Stegostoma tigrinum: one gene and its partners. The protein of the gene in region 3 interacts with the protein of the main gene of each other region in a biochemical or structural test. Links are inferred from orthologs where the notes say so. Each region holds a gene or a part of one and is shown on either strand. Other genes may lie near its edges.

Region 1 (7,447 bases), on a different chromosome or scaffold from region 3:
ATAAATATTCCTCAAGTAACATCACAAACTGATTAACTAATGGTTATGTAATTGACATCTGCACCTCGTTATAAGCAAATTTCCTACAAATAAAACAATTAATATACCTCAAAACCTTTGTCCTAAGGTTCCCATTGGACCTGCATTTACACAGAACCCGTCTTTCATCGAATATGAAGATGTCAACAGGAATTCCTGGTGATAATGTCATTGATTAATGTGCTCCTATAGTAACTGGTAATTTAAACTGAAGCAAGAAGGTCCAACAATTTATGGTTACAGACTACAAAACATGACGGACAGTGAGGGCGGAGAGGAGAGAGGCAAATTAATTATGCTGAAAACATAAAGCACTGTACTTTTGAAGGAACAGCAATGGGGAAAACTGGTTTAAATACGAAGTGATTTTCATGGTGTGCAGCTGCAGAAAACATTACTCAAGACAGTATAGAATAATGCCATAAGACAAAGCAAATCCTCAGAGACAAATGATGAATTAGTGCTTGGTCTAGGCCCGAAACGTCAGCTTTTGTGCTCCTGAGATGCTGCTGGGCCTGCTGTGTTCATCCAGCCTCACATTTTAATTATCTTAATTAGTGCTTGAGTTCAGTTTGGCTTAGGTTGGAATGCGTTGGGTGGCTCACAATAGTTTGGGTTGTTAATAGATGGGGGAAAAATTCACCGTATATTACAGAGTCTGAGAAGTTAGACCATTTTCAATTCATTTGCAGGACATGGACAAGCAAAGCTGGCATTTAAGGTGATGTAATTGAGCTTGTTAGGCTACCTTAGTAAAAACACTAAAAGGAATGCATGCTGGTGTGGCATTGGATCATAGGGAAAACAAGGTAAAGAACAGTGAGTCTCCTTCACTAAAGGAAACAGACGAATTACATGGGGTTTTTAAGGCAATCCGATAGCTTGACAGTTGCACTCACTAATATCAACTTCTCAATTTCAGATTTATGAAATTAGGACAATATCAAGCTCCAAGTGGAGAACACTGAGTAAAGGCACCAGGAAAACTTCAAAACACCAAAATCAGACTACAGTCAATAAAAGACAGTAGGCCTCTCTTAAAAGTAAAAAAGCATGTCGTTTACAAAGAAAAAAGATTTTTGAACAATACAATTGGGCAATTTGAGTTCAGGAAGCAATTAGCGACAGCCTTGCCCATGCAATTAGTGGGAAGCTTAACCAGAGAGTTACTGTCCTCCACAAACAGCCCAGCACATAAAATTTTATATCATGGCGTTGCAACACCCAATTTCTTTGCTGCAGCATGGTTTGGTAGAACAATCAAGTCAAATTTGATAAGGGAAGAGCTAATGGAAAATGTCCATTTAAAAAGAAATTCAAATATAAATGGCTGATGAGGAAAACAGGCTATTCTCACACACCTCAAACAATTTAGACAGACAGATACACAAAGAGGGAGAAGACCTACAGAATGCAACAAAGAGGACCAGGCTGTTTTAAAACTGCAGTTAGCAATGTCACAGCCAAGTACAAGCATTAGATTTTTTAAAAATCAGATTACGTGAATAAGATAGAAGTGAAATATTATTTTAACCAATAACATATCCAAAATTAAAGCTTATCTCCCTGAGAACACAAAAAAAGCTCAACTCCATGAAAATGGTTAAAGTTTTACTTCTGATCCCAGATCATTATAAAAGGAGTTATCAGTACAGTATACATTATAGAGGGCACTGAAACAGCATACATTTTACCAAGGTATTAGTACAATATACATATACCATGCTGTTAGTACTGCATATACAATAATGGGGTTTTAGTATTGTACGCATTATACTGGAGACTGCAAACGGATTCCTGACTGTAGACTATAAACTCAGAAGGTCTCCTACAATTCACACATAATCATGAAGCTTTACTGCATAACTGCAAAAAAATGCGAACTGTAACTTGTTGTGGGAACCATATTCTCTGGTTCCCATCTCTCAGCAAGTTGCCATTTACATATTTTTTGCAGTTATGCGGTGAAGCTTCACAAAATAACCCATCCACCGGACTGCAACGTTAGTACAAGCCACAAAACCGACCAATTCCAAAGGAACGTTTTGGCAAAAATGTTTACCTGAATCCTTGGGTCGACTTCTTCCTCCTCTGGCACTTCTAACTTCTCATTCTTCTTCGACAACCCGTCCATTTTGCGACTAAATTATTTATATCTTACAGCATTCAGTCTCTTTTATTTTGGGAGAATGTAAAAAAATGCAAGCTAGGACCGAAATTCGAAAAGGAGAGAGAGAAACACTCAGGGAAGTGAAACAGAATTGGCTTCACTATCGATTAAGACGTTGTCGGAGTCAACACTGCTGTATCCTGCAGAAACATCTGGAATTCATTCTTCCACTAAAACAGGCTCCAACGAACGAGGCAGCAAAACTTGGACGCGTAAAAAGCTGCAATAATTCAACATTTTTGAAGTGTCCGGAGGAAATATACGCCGCCCTCTCGGATGCAGACTCTTGTCGTTCAGAGCCCTGGTAGGAGGAAAATCATTCTAAATATATCCACAGACAGGATGAAAGGAGGTTGGCGTTGTCATACAATAGCGACGTTAGCACAGCTCGTTCAAACGGAGTCAGAGAGGCTACATTCTCCAGGATTCCTCAGTGCGCTGCTACTCCGCCCCTTCCTCTTACTCTGGGCTTGTTGGCGATTGCTTTGTTCTAATGAGATACAGGCGTAATAAAGGCTGAAAATTTACCTCCGCACCCCCCCAACCTTCACTTACCCGCAGGGGAGGATGCAGTTACCAATCTAAGACCAGCGGTTATTTCCAGCAATTTCTCTTTCTCCCTCTAAAGAATTAATTTCTTTCAATTATTGCTTTTATTTTCATGTCCTTTATTGGCTCTGGAAATAACGGGCTGGGATTGCATCACGGATGATGGCTACCCCTGTGCTGATTCGGAGATAATTTACAGAATATCTCACTGACACACAGCATCTTGCAGAGCTCACTCACTGCCCAGTCTGGGTAATACTGGGTCACTAAGTTGTAGCGCCCAGTTCAGGCTGGAGGACACAACCCGCGCTGGCACTATTGATGGAGTGTGGCATATTTTGCACGACGCGTTAAAAGGCCCTGTTCTGCCCTCTCGTGTGAAGATTGTGTGGCATGAGTTTAGAGAGATAAGGCGTGTTCTCCCTTTTGTCCTGGCTAACGTTTGTTCCTCTCACACATTACAAAAACATGCAACCTGCTTATTATCTCATCCCATATCAAAAATATTTCATTAGGTGTAAACTATTTGAGATCATGAAAGTTGCCGTATGAATGCAAACCTGTCTTTTGGATCCGCACCCTCTCGGATCCGCTACAAACCAAGCATTTTGATGTTACATTGAGTTCCATATTGAAGGCAACAATTCGTATAATTCTAGTTTGGAATGAAACACCGTGTTGATGTGGAAAGGTATGATTAGCATTCATAGTATCAGTTCCTCCCTCAAATTAACTTCACTAATGAAAATAGAGGATTATTTTGAAATTGTTACAATGACAGACAAAAATGCAGTGCGAATGCACACAACAGAATATCCAAGAAAGGGAGCTCAGACAGCAAAACCCGCTCAAAGTCTGCTGCTGTGGTAATAACGTTCAATTCATTTTCTGTTCTTCCATAGTAATATGGTTTGTACTGAAATAAGATTATTGTATGCTGGGAGCTAAATTCCTAGAGGAAACGTCTGTTTTTTTTTGTTCGTTTGTTTTAAACCTTTGTAAAAATCATCTGTTATGCTTATCAGTATTCAAAAAATGAAGGAAGCTGAGATATTATTTGTTTGGGAAATATTACTATTAATCAATACAAGATAGTGAAAGTCTGAAAATGAGCAATTAAAAAGCAATGTAAAACCTTGGTTAAATCTTTTTCTCACTTAATTCAACAACCCACAAACATTTTTATAGTCCATTTAACAACCAGAATACCTTAAAGCTTCAAAGTAGTGTTATAGGACAACATGTTACACTGTGTCACATAAGGAAGTATGTTTCCACACTGTAGGGATTCTATGAAATCTGGTGATGAACGGTTTGCTCAAAGAACTCAAGAGTCGTAGAGTCCAGCAGCATGGAAATAGACCCTTCAGTCCAACCAATCCATGCCTAACATAATCCAAGTCTAAATGTGTCCCACCTACATGATCCTGGCAAATATCTCTCCAAATCTTCCCTATACATGTACTTATCCAAATGTCTTTTAAACATTGTAATTGTACCCACATTCACCACTTCCTCAGGAAGTTTATTCCACATGCAAACCACCCTGTGTAAAAAAATTTCCTCGTCTTTTTTTAAATCTCTCTCTTCTCACCTTAAAATAACATACTCTAGTCTTGAAATCCCCATCTGAGGTAAAAGACAGCTACCATTAATTCTATCTATTCCTCTCATTATTTTATAAACTTTTACCAAGTTGCCACTTAACCTCCTACACTCCAGAGAAGAAGGTCCTAGCCTATCTAGCCTTTCTTTATAACTCAAACCTTCCATACCCAGCAATGTCCTGGTAAATCTCAGAGGAAGGGTCACTGAACCCACAATGTTCACTCAACCCACAACGTTCACTCTGATTTCTCCCCACAAGTGCTGCCAGACCTAATGAGCTTACAACAATTTCTGTCTTTGTTTCTGACTTACAGCATCCGCAGTTCTTTTCATTTATAACTAGGTTCTATGGATTGTTTTAAAGACGGAGAGGGAAAGAATAAAGAGTCTGAGAAATGAACTGACTCATCTTAGTTCTTCAGTTAATTTGTATTAGTCTGTCATCCTCTTGGAAAATTGCCTAAGTGAGAGAAATAGGTGGATTTTATTAATAATTTAATTCAAGGAACAATATAGCTTTCTGAATTTCAAACAAAAACAGAGATTCAGTAACAGAAAGTTACCAGGTCAATTTAGCTATGCAACCTGACTTCAACAGGAGTCTAGATTGGGGAGTCAATCATTTATTTAATCCATGGGAAGTGTTGAGGCAACTCGCTAGTCCACAATAAAGAGAAGTCCTCGAATCTTAGTGCTGTGAGTTGTTCAGAAACCAAAATGAATGAATCTAGTGGCGAATGATGGGGTGATGATGAAGTCAGGGCAGTCATGTGATTGAGCATTATAGAGGTAGAACAGCAGCAGATGAAACAATTCAACATAAGGTTTACAATGGGTAAGAATATCAGTAACTTTGAAGAGAGAGGAACACTCTCCGATTAAAGCAAAACAATAGCACCCATTTATCAATAAAATCCTGGCTGTTGTTCATGTGTTGCTGGGTGTTGAGATGGACTGCTTTACTGTCCATGGAATTGCAAATCAAAGCAAACATTCCAAAAGTATCAAAAAACAGCTCTACTTTTATAACCATCTTGTGGTCCCTATTGAGCAGAAATTGACTTAAACCCACCATATAATGCCATTATATGACAGGGCTTTTGTGGCACAGTTGTTGTGTCACTATTTCTGAGTTAGGAGGCCAAGTTTCAAGTTCCACTTGTTCAGGAGGTGTCTAATAATATTTCTGAACAGGTTGAATAGAAAATACCTGTAAATGCCATGGCAAAAACGCTAGTGGTGCAACAGTAGTGTCCCTGTCTCTAGACCAGAAGGCCTGCATTCAGGTTCCACCTGCTCCAGGATGTGTCACAAGATACCCAAACAGGTTGAATAGAAGTAACTATAAATACAATGGCAACTTAAACAGAAATTCTGTGATGAGTAGTTCATCTCCTGACTGCCAAAAACCTCACCTCAAGGCACACCAAAGAAACATGAAGCAAAGTTTTCCAGTTGCCCAGAGAGATGCAACTCCAACATCTATGTACTCATCGAACTGTCATATTCCACATAGATTCTGAGAATACGCAACAATTTGTTTATTCATATAAACATAAATATGTGATGCCATTTTGCCCTTTGTGCAAAAAAATTCTATCCTCTCTGAATGGAAAATTAACTAGTCTGTGAACAGAAAAGAAAATAATACAAGTTCAGCAGATGAAGCAGAATTTCCAAGTTGCATTTAATAAAAATTCCAAAAATGGAGGCCTGTCTTGCAAGGCCAGAGTTTATTAGTTATTGCTAATCGCACATGAAAACGTTACCCATGAGTATTCCTGAAGTGTGGTGACAGTACTTCCATATGTATTGTTAAGTAGTACAATCAAAGCATCATAAAATGGTTACAGTACAGATTGAGGACATTCAGCCTCTCAGGCCAGATGCCAGCTTTCTGCAAGAACAATTTAGCCCTATTTCCACACTCTTTCCCGATAAATCCTGTAAATCTTTCCCTTCAGATGCTTATCTGACCACCTTTTGAAATCAGAATTGAATTGGCTTCTGCCATCCTGTCAGTCAGTAAATTCCAGACTGTTGGCACTCACTGTGTTAAGAAACATACTCCTCATGTTGGCCTTTCAATCTATATTCTTAAATCTATATTCTGTAATTCTTCAACCTTCCACTAATGGAAATATTTTCTTTGTCTGTATTGATCTACTCCATCTGGATCCCCTTTGATTTTGAACTCTATTATTAAATGTCCAACACTTGCTTCCCTAATAGGAAGAGCTGAAGAAGCTCAGTAGGTCTGGCTGCATTTGTGGAGAGAGATCTGCTGAATTTTGCTTTTATCCCAACTCCTCAAATTACACAAAAGTCTCTTGTCCTGGAACCCCATGATTCTCCCTACATTCTTCACATCCTCCTAATGTTTGTTGTCAGAATTAACATCACATCTCAGTTCAGGCTGAACAAACGTTAAAGGTTCAACATAGCACCCAGAACTGTGACAATAAAGGAGCAGTGATATATATCCGAGTTTGGTTATGTGATTAAGAAGGGAACCTTGAAGTGACGGTGAGGCGATGTCATTCTCCTAGGTGGTTGAAATTGTAGATTTTAGAAGAGCTGTTGAAAATACTTTGGCAAGTTGCTGCAGTGCAGCTTGTACAGTCACTGAAGTTAGATTTGATCTCTACTGGATACTGCATACTGTGTTCAGCAGCAGCAAAGAGGACAAGTTTTTTTCAGACTTCGAGTATTTGTATGAGTGAATCAGAGGTGAAACTGAACTTGTGTTGGATATAGCTGGTTTTAGGGTGCTTCGGTCAGCTGTATATAGTAATTAATACGACTCTTTAAGTGTCAGTCAGTGGCTCAATGGAAGCACGCTCAGATCATGGCGGGGGGTGAGGGCATGATGATGTAGTATTGATGTCACTGGACTAAAATTCCCAAGGTCCAGGTCAGTGGTCTGGCTGCATGAGCTCAAATCATACCGTTGCAGTCATAAAGTCACACAGCATGGAAACAGACTCTTTAGTCCAGCTCACCCATCCGACTGGACATCCCAATCTGACCTAGTCCAATTTGCCATCATTTGGCTCATATCTCTCTAAACCCAGTTGTGAC
Region 2 (7,926 bases), on a different chromosome or scaffold from region 3:
GCATTCCTTTGAATCTGAAGCTGTCTATGTTCTTAAAAGTTTCTATTTAAAATCTAAAAAATTTTTATAAGTAAATAGTGAACAATGGAATCACTTTTCCCATTTCCCATTCTGAACAGTATCTCTTCACCCACAATTCTAACATTTTCCGTTTTTCTGTCTGTTTGAATATCCATTCTGTTACTGATTCTATATTCACATGCTATTCATTACTTTATTATTTAAATAAATTTACTATGTACCTTATGGGAAGTGTTTAGAAAGCTTGATACGTTACACCTACAACATTACCCATGCCTATTCTGACCACTTTAAAAAACTGAGGTTAAATTAAGGGAGACTTTCCCTTTTCGGATATTGTTGAGTCATCATATCATTTTTCTTGATACTTAAGACCCTTAATAAGAGAACATTTCTCAGGGAAAGAAATTAAACAACAGCACTACATTCTTCAACTGAAAATTAGTTCATCAATAATCTCAAAAAAAGCATCACAGCACTGCTGGGAGCTTCAAACCACTGGCAGACCAAAAGTTGCAATTCCACTAACTTACACTCTGATTTAAGTGTTTTGGGCACACACTGGTGCAGATGTAGCCAGAAGAGGCTGAAATATTAAAATCCTAAGAAACAAGACATCCAAGACTAGTTTCACAGGCTTATTTTCAAAGTGCAATGTTAACTACAAAATTGTCTTAACATCGCACTTTACAAAATTCAATGTTGAAACAACTTATCTGGTGTCAGTTGTCACAAAATAAAACACAGCTTCTAATTTTGGTCAAATACATTATTATGCAACAAAATAACAAAGATGATAAACTAATTAAAAGCTATCATTTAGCCAGTCCACGAAATGTTCAATGACAAGCTTTGAAAAGTATTAATCCAGTATTACTGCCCTGATTAGACAGTTATAATAGTGTTATCATCCCACTGGATAACACCAGGGCAACATAGAGCAAAACCCAGCTGAACAGATCTAAGATGCTGCTTAGCCGGCTGTGTTCATCCAGCTCCACACTTTGTTATCTCTTTAACAGACCATAAGCTTAATTTATTTCCAATGTTCATACCATGGTATCAAGTCACTGAGCACATTCACACTAAGTTGCCAATGTATATTTAACAAAAACATAACACCAAAATAGAACAATCAATCTTTTCCCACAATATCCTTTACACTAAAGCTAAGCAAAATAATCAGTCCAATCTCTACTTCAAAATTTAAGAACTCAATTGACGAGGCTACAAACATTCCCTTTTGGAGATTTACTGCAGAATCACCAGATGCGATTCCATTTCTCCCAAGACAAACATGCTAACTCATTAGCTTTTCTGACTTTAACCACTTTGAGGCTGCTAAAAGATTAAGATCTATTTCCAGTTCAATTGGTCTGAAGACCATCAAAAGCTAAATTGCCTTTCCACAGTGCTTTTTTTCTGAACTCAACACGTTTGTGGCCTCAGCCACCTGTCTTTTCCTTAGATCATAAAAACACTAGTCAGTCAACAATAAGCAGCAATTATTTCACAAGGTACCATGCTGAGTCACTTAGCTTTTAGGTGAAAGCTCACGATTGTATGTTTTCTTTAGTTCACTGTTTCAAATGACTTGCTGACCCTTTATTTTAAAAAATTCATTTACAGCACTATACCAAAACCCTGTTTACCTCAAATCAAAATTCTGTAAATAACTCATACAATCCAGATTTACTGTAATAGTCAAATACTGTTCCATTCAAGGTAACAGCTACATAATTTTTGCCAATTTAAGATTTCCAACATAACATTTACTACCATGCAATTGATGCTCAATGATAAGTTAACACCGCAAGTTCCTACGTAGTAGCAACACGTTCATGCTCACATCACCACGACTCAGTCTTCCATTTTAACCATCGACTTTCTTCTCCCTTTTGCAGGATTTTTCCCTCAACCTAACTTGCCACGGATGCCCGCCTCCCCTTTGACGATTGGCTGCTCTACAACTCAGCCTCAAATCTCGGCACATCCATTGGACAAACCCGCTGCCCTTCAATCGTGCCGTCACTGGGGAAGTTAGGCTTTACACGAAAAGCAGCAGTACTTCATGGGCGCCTTGCAGAGCCGGTTTCACCAAGACTCCCGCCAAAGCCATCAAAACAGCACAATCACCCCTCACCACTCTAAAATTGCTGTTCTAAGACAAAAATAAAAGCACGTACAGGATTGTTCAAATAAAAGACACGATGTTAAAAAAGTCAACCATTCAGCAGATGAACTGGTCTATGTATTCTGCCGCCGAATCAAAAATTAAACCCACTTTAGAGAAGAAAACTCTGAATCCCTAATCCATTCGACTTCGTCCAAGTCGCGATTTTAACCAGAGGGCGATCGGGCGCTCGATCACAGATGATGGCGGTGATCTAGTATATTAGGAATTGGGGAGGGGGAAGCACTTGTGTATGCCTCCGCTCGCTGCGGTACAACAGCCGCGGAGTCACACTACGGAGAGGCGCCGGTTCTCCAGACCGGGCGAGCGGTTGGCGATGGCGCCGGCAGTACAGCACCACGCTGCAGTCAATGCGGCCACTGTAGACACTCAAAATAAACCCCTTTCCCGAACGCACATGTAACGGAGAGAGGAAAGAAAGAAGCCGCTACCTGATCTCACTTCTTCCCCTCCCCCTTTCCCCAAGCTGAATTTTATGAAGGAGAGAGCAGGAAAACTCCGACTCACAGGAAAAGTGGCGACGCGCACACAATCCGAAAATTTCCCAGCAGCCGCCGATGGAATATTCTAGAAAAGGAAAGAAATAGCAAAAGAACGCGGTTCGAATGATCGCTCACAGGATCATTGAACGGCTGCCAATTACTTCAACTCTGGGTAATAATTTTGTGGGTTCTTTTTGGTTTGAAAGAAATCGAACAAAATTAAAATCCTGTACACCACCCGAACTACAGCTCAGCCGACAAAGCCTGACGGCGCCTTGTCCCTATTGTTCCCTTCAGCCAATGCGTTGCTAGAACGCATGCGCTCCTCCCGGGGTGCACCATAGGCTTTGTAGTCTCGGGCGCATGGATCGGCTCCGGGACCTCAATACCGGTTGGAGGGGCGTGGACTACAATTGCCAGGGTGCAATGCGCTGAAACATCTCAGGCAGTTTACAGCCCAGTGCTTGATTGGAAAAAATAGGAAAAGGGCTATTTATTTTGTGCAGCATGGTGTGCTGCATAGATTTAGACACGAAGATAGTAGCCTATCTATTGCAAGGTGCAGTGTGCAACCCTACTCTCAAAAAAATATCGTTACTAAATCGACCAGATCATTTAAGTTTCACCACGACTAATTAATATGCAAAAGTAAAATACGGCAGATGATGGAAATCTGAAATAAAATCAGAAAATATGGGTGATCTGAAACATTAACGCTGTTACTGTTTCCACATAAGCTGTCAAACATGCTAAGCATTTCTAGAAGGTTCTTCGGTTCCACTTTCTGTTTTCATTTAATTTTACGAATTTATGTTTTTTTTCTTAAGTTGGAGTCATTAATAAAATAGAGGCTGAACTATGCTGCTTTATTTTACTATTATAAACCTTCCTTCGAATCAAACTGACTCAGCAATCTTAGGCGTAGAGAAGGGCAATTGTTGTAAACTGAGAACATTTGCCCCCGTTAAATTTGGAAAATTGGCAGGAAAAATTATAATGACAGAATGGACTATCTTGAAAGAGAAAGTTCTCATAAGGGAAAAATGCAAACCTGAGATGTTGAAAGAGAACAAAATGAAAAGGTATGCATACGACAGATATAGGCTTGATAATGAAATGTGATCAAAGCTGAACATACAAGGTCCAGAGGGTAAAGCAGGAGGGAAATGAGAGGCAAAAAGAGTACAAGTTGAGACTGACCACTAACACAAAAGGGAATCTGAAAGAAAACAAACGTATAGTGAAGAGGTAGTAATCAGAAGAGCAAAACTGATTAGGGACCAAAAAGGGACTCGATAATGAGTGCAGAAAAGGAAACAAAATAGAATCCATAGAGTGTGGATACAGGCCATTTGGTTCATCACGTTGACACCGACCCTCTGAAAAAGAAGTAGTTGGAACACAGACTGGGCTAAAATTAATTAAGAATAGAAAGTAAAAAGGCTGGTTGCACATAACCTTGATCCATTATAACAATCAGATAATATATATGTCAGGATGCCAATGGAAATTGTGTTTAATTGACATAGTTAAATTTAATGAGCCACAGAGAGGGTTGATAGGGTCAAGTTTTTACAGATGTGTATGGACTTCAGAAAGTATTTTATAAAACGTCATATAATAGATTTGGCAAGAAAATGTATGTCCACAGAATCCAGGGAACAAAGGCAGCATGAATATTAAGCTGAATGGTTGACAGTGGGGGTGGGAGGGTTTAAATAAAGAGAAATTTAGAAAATTACAAAGAGAAAACAAGGCAATCATGTGATTGTGTGATAGGGTAATGTGTGACAGGAAAGCCCAAAGTTTACAAAATTAAAAGTGGACCAGCATGTAGAGTCAGAGTAAGGAAACATTACAAGAAGACAAAACTTATGATTATTCATCTGAATACATGTGCCATTTTCAATAATATAGCTGAATTGATGGTACATGTAGAAATGAAAGGGTATAATCTGACAGTCGTTACAAAAATACAGTTGCATGATGACTAAGATTGGAAACTGAATATTCAGGTGTACTTGCAAATTTTGCAAGGATAGGCAAAATGAAAAAAAAGAAAATGGGATAGGTCTGTTTATAAAGGATGAAATCAGAATAGTAGTGAGAAATGATTTTGGCTTGAAAGATCAAGATGGAGAATCAGTGTGGATGGAGATCAGAAATAGCAAGGCAGAGAGGTCATTGCCAGGAGTGGCCTACAGGTCCCCCTAACAGCAAAGCTGCGGACAGAGTGTAAATGGGAAGGTAGCAGGGTCTTGTGCTCAAGGTACTGCAGTAATTCTGAGAAAATAATCTTCACATATTTTCAACAAATTAAATTGGCAAGGGTAGCTTCGAGGATGACTTCCTTTTGGGAGTTGCAAATGCTATTTTGATCAAGTAATGTGTAATGACGCTAGATTAATCAATGTTCTCTTAATAAATTATCCTCGAGGGAAGAGTGAATGTAACGTTACAGAATGTCACATTCTGTTTTAGACAGTGAAAGATGAATTTGTCATAACCCTAAGCAAAGGCAATTACAAAGATATGAAGTTTGATTTAACTGTGGTGGACTAATGCAATACGTTAAAAGTTGCAATTATAATTAAGCAGTGCAAACATTTAATTCTCAACAAAGATATTTATTTAAGTTAGAAAGGAAGACTGCTGAAAAGACAACTCATCCGTGGACAATTAAGAATGGTTTAAAACAGAAAGAAAGGCATGTAATGTTGCAAAGATTGATAGTAAACCAGAAGATTGGTCAACAACAAAAACAGAACTTACTGGAAAAGCTCAGCAGGCCTGGCAGAATCTGTGAAGAGAAAATCAGAGTTAACGTTTCGGGTTTGGTGATCCTTCCTCACAACACTTTCAGAAGATTGGTCATTTTTTTCAACAAAAAAATTAATAAATTATGAAAAGAAATTCAAAAACGGCGTAAGTTTTCACAAAAAATACAAATGGAGAGAGAATGAGCCAGAAGAAGTATTGTTCGCTTGGAGGGTGAGGTGATATTATTAATGGACAGCAAGAAAATAGCAGAAACTTTGGATAAATTTTTATTTGTCTTTCGGGGGAAGGTACTAACAGCAATGCAATAATAGTGGAAAATTAGTGGGAAAAAGGGAGGCAGGATTTAATCACTCGCCATACAGAAAAGATGTTAATTAAACTAAAGGCTCAAAAGTCTCCTGGACCTGATGGCTTTATGCCTTATTCTTGTGTCGTGCCAAGTATAAGCGTGCCATATTACAAAATTTCAGTAAATACTTGTAAAAACTGGACACAAATAAGCTTTTGCAAATTATCTGACAATTGATATTTGAACAACAGACCATATCAACTCTAAAGCAAATGCCTAATTAAATATGGACATTTACAGTCATCCAGGGAACTTACACATCATTTATTTAATAATGGGCCAACTCTAAATAGCAATAGAATTCTCAGACTGCCTGTCTCCCTGATTTATGCCGGATAAAGGCGAAGATTGAAACCAAATTTAAGGCAGATAGAAGTGAATCACTATCTACATCCTATGTATTATAAGAATTTTTCTCATTCAAACTAGACAAGGTGAGTCTCAAAAATGTTAAACCACAACACAGGATGTTGGAATCTATATAAATATCACCACTTTTTATTTGGTCTGCTTTTAACTGTTGCCTAAATACTGGTTGCAGGCAGTCCCATGACAAAGCCAGCAAAGTCACTATTCAGTGTTCAGAAGGCCACTAAGTAGCTGTAAGTCATCAAGCAACCAAGGTAATTAACAGCAATACCTTGAGAGTGGGAGATTTAACAGAGAGTGCTCCTCCAACCTATTCCAACTTCAAGTGCTCTGAGAACCAACCTCCTAAAAATTCAACCACGGAAAACCTTACAGCCTGCTGAGAATCCTTCACTCTACAATGCCCTCACTTACAATTTTAGGTATTAAACACCATCCTTCCACATGGAAAAGCAGAAATCATAATTCAGAGATCAAGATAATTACAAACTCTACAAGTAATTTACTTTCATCTATATCTCACGTTTGCATTTGCGAGCATGAGTATGTAAATTGTCATGTTTATTTTGGTATATGCACATGAGAATAAATAATTTTGAAATTCACGCAAGTTGATGAATATTATTTAATTTGGACATATATGCCAACAGTAAGAAACGAATATCTCTTTTTTTTGTAAAACATATTGATAATAGGCATTTTGTTCTTAAATAGTTGCAGAGATTGTGGCTGCATTTACTGTAAATAGGTTCATTTCATGTAATCTTCCGAAATTCACTACTTTCACTAAATATCCAAACACACTATAAAATCACAAGGAAATTGGGAAACAGAAAGCAGAAAACCATAAACCAATTAGCCTTTCACCTGTCATTGATAAAATGCTGGAATCCATTATTAAGGAAGTAGTAACAAGACATTTAGAAAATCATAATTCAGTCAAACCAAACCATCATGATTTAATGAATGGGAAATAGTGTTTAACAATTTTTTTTAGAATCCAGTAAGGATGTAATGAGCAGGGTGGAAAGTGGTAATCAGTGTTAGGAACTCCATAGAGGCTGGTAACTTTAATGAAAAAGAACTCCCCAGTGATCAAAGCAAACAAATGGCACAGCAAGTGTTCGTACTTTTAATTCTCCACAACCCTTACTAGGTTCCATCTTCACCAGGACTTTGCTTGGTGATAAGCCCGAATAGTTTTTTTTTACCTTTGTCTGATACAGCAGTACTAGCTTTAGGTCTTCTTCCCCAAATACCCCAGTCTAACTGTTTCTGACAGTCTGCAAGTCCTAAAGCAACAAGAATTGTTGCTTTCTCCTTTACATTCAGGTTTTAAAACCTGCACCTTGTTTTTAAGGAGCTTTGACCTGGGCCTCTTATCTCTGTGGTGACAAGATCACATTGGCTTGTGTCTTCACTTTGAGGTCAAAAGTCCTTCACTACTGTTATATTTTGCCTTGATTTAAAGGAGATAGTTAAGACATGACTCTCTTACAAAGTCGATCTGTCATTGCTATATTGTATTTGGATTTCAAAGAAGCATTTGATAAGATGCACATAAAAGGCTGGTGTGCAGGACGTTTTCAAAATCACAAATTAATGGTGTGCTTCAGGGATCAGCGCCGGAGGCTTTACTATTTGCAATCTATGTTAATGACATGAATAAAGAGATCAAATATGTTGCAGCTAAATTTGCTTATAGTACAAAAATAGGTAGAAAATTGGTT
Region 3 (7,530 bases):
CCAGGTAGCCTCTCATCATAACTGAATCACTCCAGCCTAGGCAATATCCCAGTGAATCTCTTCTGTAGCTCCTCTAGAGCAATCTCTACAGCATGGAGACCAGAAATGCACATAGTACTCCAGCTGGGGCATTATATATATATTATATAACTAACATAATAACAGCTCCATCATAAGCTCCCTGCACTTGTATTCAGTGCCTTGATTAATAAAGGCAAGTATCCGATATGCCTTCTTAACAAACTTAACAACCTACCTGCCCAGCTGCCATCAAGGATCTATGGATATACACACCAAGGTCCATCTCGTCCTCTATATATCCCAACATGCTACTTTTTAATTAGTCCTCCCAAAGTACATCACCTTACACCTTTCAGAATTAAATTTCATTTCCCACTGTTCAGCCCATTTGACCAGCCATTTCAGGCTTTCCTCCTCACTTATTGAAAACACCACTAACTTTCATGTCATTCATGAACTTATTGATCATATTTCTTACAGTCATGTCTAGATCATTAGTGTACACAACAAACAGCAAAGAACCCACCACCAGACCTTGTGGTATGCCACTGAATATAGGCATTCAGTCACAAAAACACCCTTTATCATCACCCTCTGACCCTAAACCAATTTTGGATCCAATTTGACAAATTTCCATGAAACCCGTACATGGTTACACTCTTACCCAGCCTGCCGCAGAATACTTCATTAAAAGTCTTACTGAAGTCCATCAGCATCAATTTTACTACCCTTATCTACACACCCAGTTCACTCAGAAAATTCAATCAAATTCGTTAGGCATGACATCTGCCTTAGAAAGCCATGTTGCCTATCATTGATTAACCCCTACCTCTCCACTTGAAAATAATTCTGCTTCTCAGAATTTTAATATCTTCTTGCATGATATCTACTGATGAAGCATGTATTCCCAGGTGCTGTCTATTGATGGAGAATGTATTCCTGGGAGCTGTCTATTTATGGGGTGTCTGTTCCCGGGTGCTGTCTGTTGATGGGGTGTGTGTTCTGAGGTGCTGTCTGTCGATGGGGTGTGTGTTCCTGGGTGCTGTCTGTTGATGGAGTGTGTGTTCCTGGCTGCTGTCTGTTGATGGAGTGTGTTCCCGGGTGCTGTCTGTTGATGGGGTGTGTGTTCTGAGGTGCTGTCTATTAATGGGATGTGTGCTCCTGGGTGCTGTCTATTGATGGGGTGTGTGTTTACAGGTGCTGTCTATTGACGGAGTGTGTGCTCCCACTGGCTGTCTATTGATGGGGGTGTGTGTTCCTGGCTACTGACTATTGATGGAGCGTGTGTTCCCAGGTGCTGTCTGTTGATGTTGTGCAGGTTCCCGATTGCTGCCTCTTGATGGAATGTGTATTCCAGAGTGCTGTCTATTGTTGGGTGTGGGCTTTCAGGTGCTATCAATTAATGGAAAATGTGTTCCTGGGCGAACATAAACATAGAGCAGTACAGCACAGGAACAGGCCCTTTGGCCCACCATGATGATATTCGAAACTAATGCCATATGCTTGCTCGTAGTCCATATCCTTCTATTCTCTACCTGTTTGTGTGTCTATCTAAATGCTTCTCAAACTTTGCGAATGTATCTGCCTCTACCACCTCTCCTGGTGTTCCAGGCACCCACGACTCTCACTGTCAAAATTCTTTTCTTACACATCTTTAAACTTGCCCCCCCTCAACTTAAATCTATGGCCCCTAGTATTTAACATTTCCAAACTGGTTAAGAGATGCCAATTATTCATGTCTCTCATAATTTTAGATACTCAGCCTCTGACATTCTCATGAAAACAATCCCTGTAACTGGCTAATACATTTGAATCCAGTTAACATCTAACATCTTAGCAAAGCTCTTTTGCACCCTCTCCATCGCCTTCACATCCTTCCTTCGTGTGGTGATTAGGACTGCACATACCCCAAATGTAGCCAAACTAAATTCTAATACAGCTGCAACATGACTTGCCTACTTTTATACTCAATGCCCCAACCAATGCCGTACACCTTCTTTACCACCTAAGGGTCTGGTCAGTTACAGTTTACTATCTCTTGGCTGTTTGTTGATGGGGTGTGTGTTTCTGTGATTCTCTATTCAAGACTGAGATTGATAACTTTAGACTGAAGGGAAATAGGGAGAACAGTAGAAATTTGAATTGATGGCCATGATCTTTCCAAATGATGGAGCAGGCTGGAAGAGCAGGACTCTGTACACCCATGTCCGTTTCTCATGGCCTCATGAAGGGATCTTTCAATCCAACTAAAAGGACAGGCAGGCCATCCTTTTAATCCCATATCCAAATGATAGCTCCTCTCACAATGCTTGATCTGTACTTGTTCATCTGTTGGTGTGATCTTTGCAAGTTTTTGAGATTTACATTTAAGTCAAGGTGTAACCTATTATCCCAAAGGTAAACACTAGTGGTTTGGGAGCTAAAATTAAAATGAGGAATTGCAATTTTAATGCCAGCCTCCTTCATCCTCTCTTCAAATAACTCTTTTGTCTGTGGCAAAAGCTGAAGTGCTGGGTTTATTTGCACATTTACTGATGGTTTTGAAAGGATCACACCTTCAGTGAAGATGGATAAAGCTTTGCCACACTGCAGACAGGGGCAGCTTTACAGCCGTCAGAGCCTGTAATTTACGGCACAGATACTGAAGGAACCTGGGGCTGGAACGCACAAGTGAGATTGTAACCTCAGTCCCACTCCCAAGCACATTGCTTCACCAAGGGACAGTAGAATCAAAGAGGCCTCTCTCCTTAATTATTCATCAAACAGGACTGGTTTGCAGAAACACAGATCAAAAACATTTGCAGTTCTGCAGTTCCCCAAATCCAAACTAAACAGGAAAATGAACCAACCAACAAAATAAGCTACTCTCCCCACACTCACTGTGAAAATACATTGAAATGAATAGATTATAACTGAATCCACACATTATTATACTGCCCAACATAGACTCCCTGTTTCACTTACCTACAAGCTATCCATGCACGGCAGGGATCAGTTTAGCTGTCTTCCCTGCCTCTTTAATTTCTCTCAGACAATGTTAGCTCCACCCTGTGCCAGGAACTAACAGATAAGTTCCTCATTTCCATCAGAGGGCAGTTTTTATTTAAATTAATTTGTATTTACATATCCAGTGCTGCCCTCTTCTGTTTGCTGTCTCTCTGTAGCTAGTGCCTCCAGATATTTACCTCGACAACCTGTTCAAAGGTGTTATGGCCAGAGATAATGGGAACTGCAGATGCTGGAGAATCCAAGATAACAAAGTGTGAGGCTGGATGAACACAGCAGGCCAAGCAGCATCTCAGGAGCACAAAGGCTGACGTTTCGGGCCGAGAGCCTTCATCAGAGAGGTGTGGTGTTATGACACAGCTCTTGAGTGCGTCGGACTTGAACCCATGCATCCTGGCCCAGAGGTAGAGACACTACCACTGCACCACAAAAGCCTTCACAAGCTGTTGCCTGCAAACTAATCACTCGTTTTCGCGTTAGAGGTAACCTGAGGTAGCATTGAATCAGAAGGTAAGTTATCTTTGATGTCATCACAACAGGCATAAAAGGCAGAAACTTTTCCAAAGAGCAGACACCTTTACAATGGAAAGGTTAACATGAAATTTTGGTACACGATTCCATAGATGCATGAAGGTGTGAGCACAGGTAGATACTGCATATGAATGGCTGCCTTCATTAGCCTGGTTGTTGAATATAGGGGCAGGAAAATCTTGTAACAACTTTGTAAAACATTCGTTTGGCCACAGATGAATATGTGCAGTTCTGGTCATCACATAAATGAAAGGGTGTGATTGCACTGGAAGGGTTGCCGACAAGATTCACCAGGATATTGCCTGGGATGGAAGGTCTCACTTATGTGGAGTGACTGGATAAGATCAGAAATCACATGACACTAGGTTATAGCCCAACAGATTTGTTTGAAAATACATGCTTTCAGAGCTTCACTCCTTCTTCAGGTGTTAGTGAGAGAGGTAGTATCAGACACAGAATTTATAACATGCAGTTATAACCTAGCATGCATTGTCCAACCTAAAATGTCACCTCTTATTTACAGTGATAAAACCTTTAGTTCTCTCAGGACAATGACTTGAAAGGAATTCAGGAATTTACCTACACATATTAATCAATTAAAACCTTCTAACTGAATAAAGATTGAACAGCATCTTAGGCTTGGTTAAATAAAGCATAAAATTCTGTGTTTGATACTACCACTTTCAGTAACACCTGAAGAAAGAGCGAAGCTCTGAATCTTGTCCACTCCCCTTCCAGTGCCATCACATCCTTTCGATTATGTGATGACCAGAACTGCACATATTCATCTGTGGCCTACCCAATGTTTTACAAAGTGGTTACAAGATTTTCTTGCCTCTTTATTCAACACCCAGCTGTGTTCAACTAATCTCCTGCTTTTCTGCCATCACTGCATCTCTTCTCTCCCACAACAATGGTCTTTGCTTACCATCCCACCAGACTTTGCGCCCCAAATGATCATTAACTGCTGTTTCTGCCAACTCCAGGAGGACACCATGACCAGACACATTCCGTTGTCAGCCTACCACAGGGACCATACCCTCCCTGACACTCCGGTCAACTCTTCCTCAACTCCCAGTATCTCCTCACATCCCAATGGCACCTTCCCATACAACCACAGAAGGTGTAATACATGCCCATTTACTTCTTCCTTCCTCACTATCCAAGGTCCGAGACACACCTTCCAAGTGAAGCAGCAATTTTTCTGGACTTCACTCAATCTAGTCTACTGCATTCACTGCTCACAATGTTTCTCCTCTTCATAGGGAGGATAAAACATAGGCTGAGTCACCACTTTGCAGGACACCTACGCTCTGTCCCTAAGAATGATCCTGAGCTTCCAGTTGCCTGCCATGTCAACACATCACCGTGTTCCCATGCCACCATTTCTGACACAGGCCTGCTGCAGTGTTCCAGCGAGCATCAGTGCAAGCTTGAAGAGCAACATCTCGTTTTCCACTTGGGGACCTGCAGCCTCTAGGACACAAAATTGAGTTCAATAACTTTAGAGCCAGATTCTATCCTTCCATGTATTTTACCACCTTACATTGGACCTATTGTGACATTGGTTGCTTTTAGCACTGTCACTCATTCCCATGTACTCCTCGGCCTATTGTCATATTATATGGTATACTGTCAGTACAGTTCACCTATTCTCTCCTACTCTTAGGTCTTATTTCACTTATTCAGCCTTTCTTCTGTCCAGGCCTGCTATCCATAACCTTCTTGTTTAGCTACCCTTTCATATCTCTTTCTGTCTCTCTCTGGGCTCTGTATCCACTTATTTGCTCACCTCTGCCCTTCCATCTCCCCCTCCCTCCATACCTAACCTCATCTTCAGCATAAATATTACTTTGTCTGAACTACTAACAATTCTGAAAATGGGTCACCGGACTTGAAATGTTAAACCTGCTTTCTTCCCACAGATGCTGCTGGACCTACATGTGTTTATGTTTCAGATCTCCAGCATCCACAGTTTTTTGTTTTACTTTTTGGTGAATATGGAACACGTTGCCTGGTAGGGTGGTGGAGACAGATACACTCACAGTATTTAAAAACCATCTAGATGAGCATTTAAAATGCTAGAATGCATAAGGCTATGGATCAAGTGCATGTATCTGAGATTAGTGTAGTTTGGTATTTTTTGGATGACCTGGACATGGCGGGCTGAAGGGCCTGTTTCTATGCCGAATAATGCTATGACTACGAAGTGGTGATTGTGGGTTCAGAAGGCAGGAGTTCACTAGCTGTGAATTAGAAGCTAGCATTATAGCAGCAGCTGGTTGTTCCAACGTCATAACGTCCAGGTCAGCAGTTTAGGCTCAGGACCTAATTCACTTAGGAAAGGGACCTTGCTGTGAATGATAGCTTTGAGGAGCAGGAAAACCAGCTTGAACAGATCAAGATTGAGGAAGTTGATGTGCTGGAAATTTTGGCAAACATTAAGATTGATAAGTCCCCAGGGCCAGACCAGATTTATCCTAGGTTGCTCAGGGAAGCAAGAAAGGAGGTAGCTCAGCCGCTGGCGAAGTTCTTTGCTTCCTCACTCTCCACAGGAGTTGTACAGGAAGATTGGAGCGAGGCAAATGTTGTTTCTCTTTTCAAGAAAGGGAATAGGGAAATCCCTGGAAATTACAGACCAGTCAGTCTTACGTCTGTGGTCAGCAAGGTTTTGGAAAGAATTCTGAGGGGTAGGATTTATGACTATTTGGAAAAGCATAGTGTGATTAAAGGGAGTCAGCGTGGCTTTGTGAGGGGCAGGTCATGCCTTACAAATCTTATTGAGTTCTTTGAGGAAGTCACGAGACAGGTTGACGAGGGTCGAGCAGTGGATGTGGTGTACATGGAATTCAGCAAGGCATTTGATAAGGTTCCCCACAGCAGGCTCATTCATAAAGTCAGGAGGTATGGGATACAGGGTGATTTGGCTGTCTGGATTCAGAATTGGTTGGCTGACAGTAGGCGGAAAGTGGTTGTAGATGGTAAGTATTCTGCCTGGAGGTCAGTGTTGAGTGGTGTCCCACAGGGCTCTGTTCTTGGGCCTCTGCTCTTTGTAGTTTTTATAAATGACTTGGATGAGGAGGTTGAGGGGTGGGTTAGTATGTTTGCTGATGACACAAAGGTTGGAGGTGCCGTTGATAGTATCGAGGGCTATTGCAGGCTTCAGCGAGACAGTGACAGAATGCAGAGCTGGGCTGAGAAATGGCAGATGGAGTTCAACCCGGACAAATGCGAAGTGACGCATTTTGGAAGGTTGAACCTAAGGCTGAACATAGGATTAAAGGCAGGATTCTCAGCAGTGTGGAGGAACAGCGGGATCTTGGTGTTCAAGAGCATAGCTCCCTCAAAGTTGCCACCCAGGTGGGTAAAGTTATTAAGAAAGCATATGGTGTTTTGGCTTTCATTAACAGGAGGATCGAGTTTAAGAGCTGCGAGGTTATGCTGCAGCTGTACAAAACCCTGGTGAGACCACACTTGGAATATTGTGTCAAGTTCTGGTTGCCCTATTATAGGAAAGATGTGGAAGCTTTGGAGAGGGTGCAAAGGAGGTTTACCAGGATGCTGCCTGGACTGGAGGGCTTGTCTTATGAGGAAAGGTTGACTGAGCTTGGACTTTTCTCTCTGGAGAGGAGGAAGAGAAGTGACCTGATCGAGGTGTACAAGGTAATGAGAGGCATGGATGGAGTCGATAGCCAGAGACTTTTCCCCAGGGCAGGATTGACTGCTACGAGGGGTCATAGTTTTAAGGTGTTAGGAGGAAGGTACAGAGGAGACGTCAGAGGGAGGTTCTTCACCCAGAGAGTTGTGAGCGCATGGAATAGTTTGCCAGTGGTAGTTGTGGAAGTGGAGTCATTAGTGACATTTAAGCGAGTGAATTGAGGGGAATGTAGGTTAGGTTATTTTATTTTTGGATTAGGATTATTCCACAGCACAACTTCGTGGGCCGAAGGGCCTGTACTGTGCTGTACTTTT

Evidence for each region. The genes of interacting proteins can lie anywhere in the genome.
Region 1: the proteins of btk (region 3) and SH3 domain-binding protein 5-like form a complex in vitro, tested with the Homo sapiens proteins (2 studies listed by BioGRID, with this or other methods). The link is inferred for Stegostoma tigrinum from reciprocal best matches to the Homo sapiens genes BTK and SH3BP5.
Region 2: the proteins of btk (region 3) and general transcription factor II-I-like form a complex in vitro, tested with the Homo sapiens proteins (4 studies listed by BioGRID and IntAct, with this or other methods). The link is inferred for Stegostoma tigrinum from reciprocal best matches to the Homo sapiens genes BTK and GTF2I.

Annotation. Positions count from the first base shown.
Region 1 is NC_081355.1:21,867,726-21,875,172, reverse strand, and holds the start of SH3 domain-binding protein 5-like, read right to left. Parts: upstream 3,002-7,447; 5' UTR 2,174-3,001; coding exon 2,102-2,173; intron 1-2,101. UniProt on the Homo sapiens protein: Functions as a guanine nucleotide exchange factor (GEF) with specificity for RAB11A and RAB25. Inhibits the auto- and transphosphorylation activity of BTK. Plays a negative regulatory role in BTK-related cytoplasmic signaling in B-cells.
Region 2 is NC_081380.1:9,698,983-9,706,908, forward strand, and holds the start of general transcription factor II-I-like, read right to left. Parts: upstream 3,002-7,926; 5' UTR 2,723-3,001; intron 2,669-2,722; exon of another isoform or gene 2,647-2,668; intron 2,439-2,646; exon of another isoform or gene 2,306-2,438; intron 1,916-2,305; exon of another isoform or gene 1,801-1,915; intron 1-1,800. UniProt on the Homo sapiens protein: Interacts with the basal transcription machinery by coordinating the formation of a multiprotein complex at the C-FOS promoter, and linking specific signal responsive activator complexes.
Region 3 is NC_081368.1:71,924,750-71,932,279, reverse strand, and holds the start of btk (tyrosine-protein kinase BTK), read right to left. Parts: upstream 3,075-7,530; 5' UTR 2,986-3,074; intron 1-2,985. UniProt on the Homo sapiens protein: Non-receptor tyrosine kinase indispensable for B lymphocyte development, differentiation and signaling. Binding of antigen to the B-cell antigen receptor (BCR) triggers signaling that ultimately leads to B-cell activation.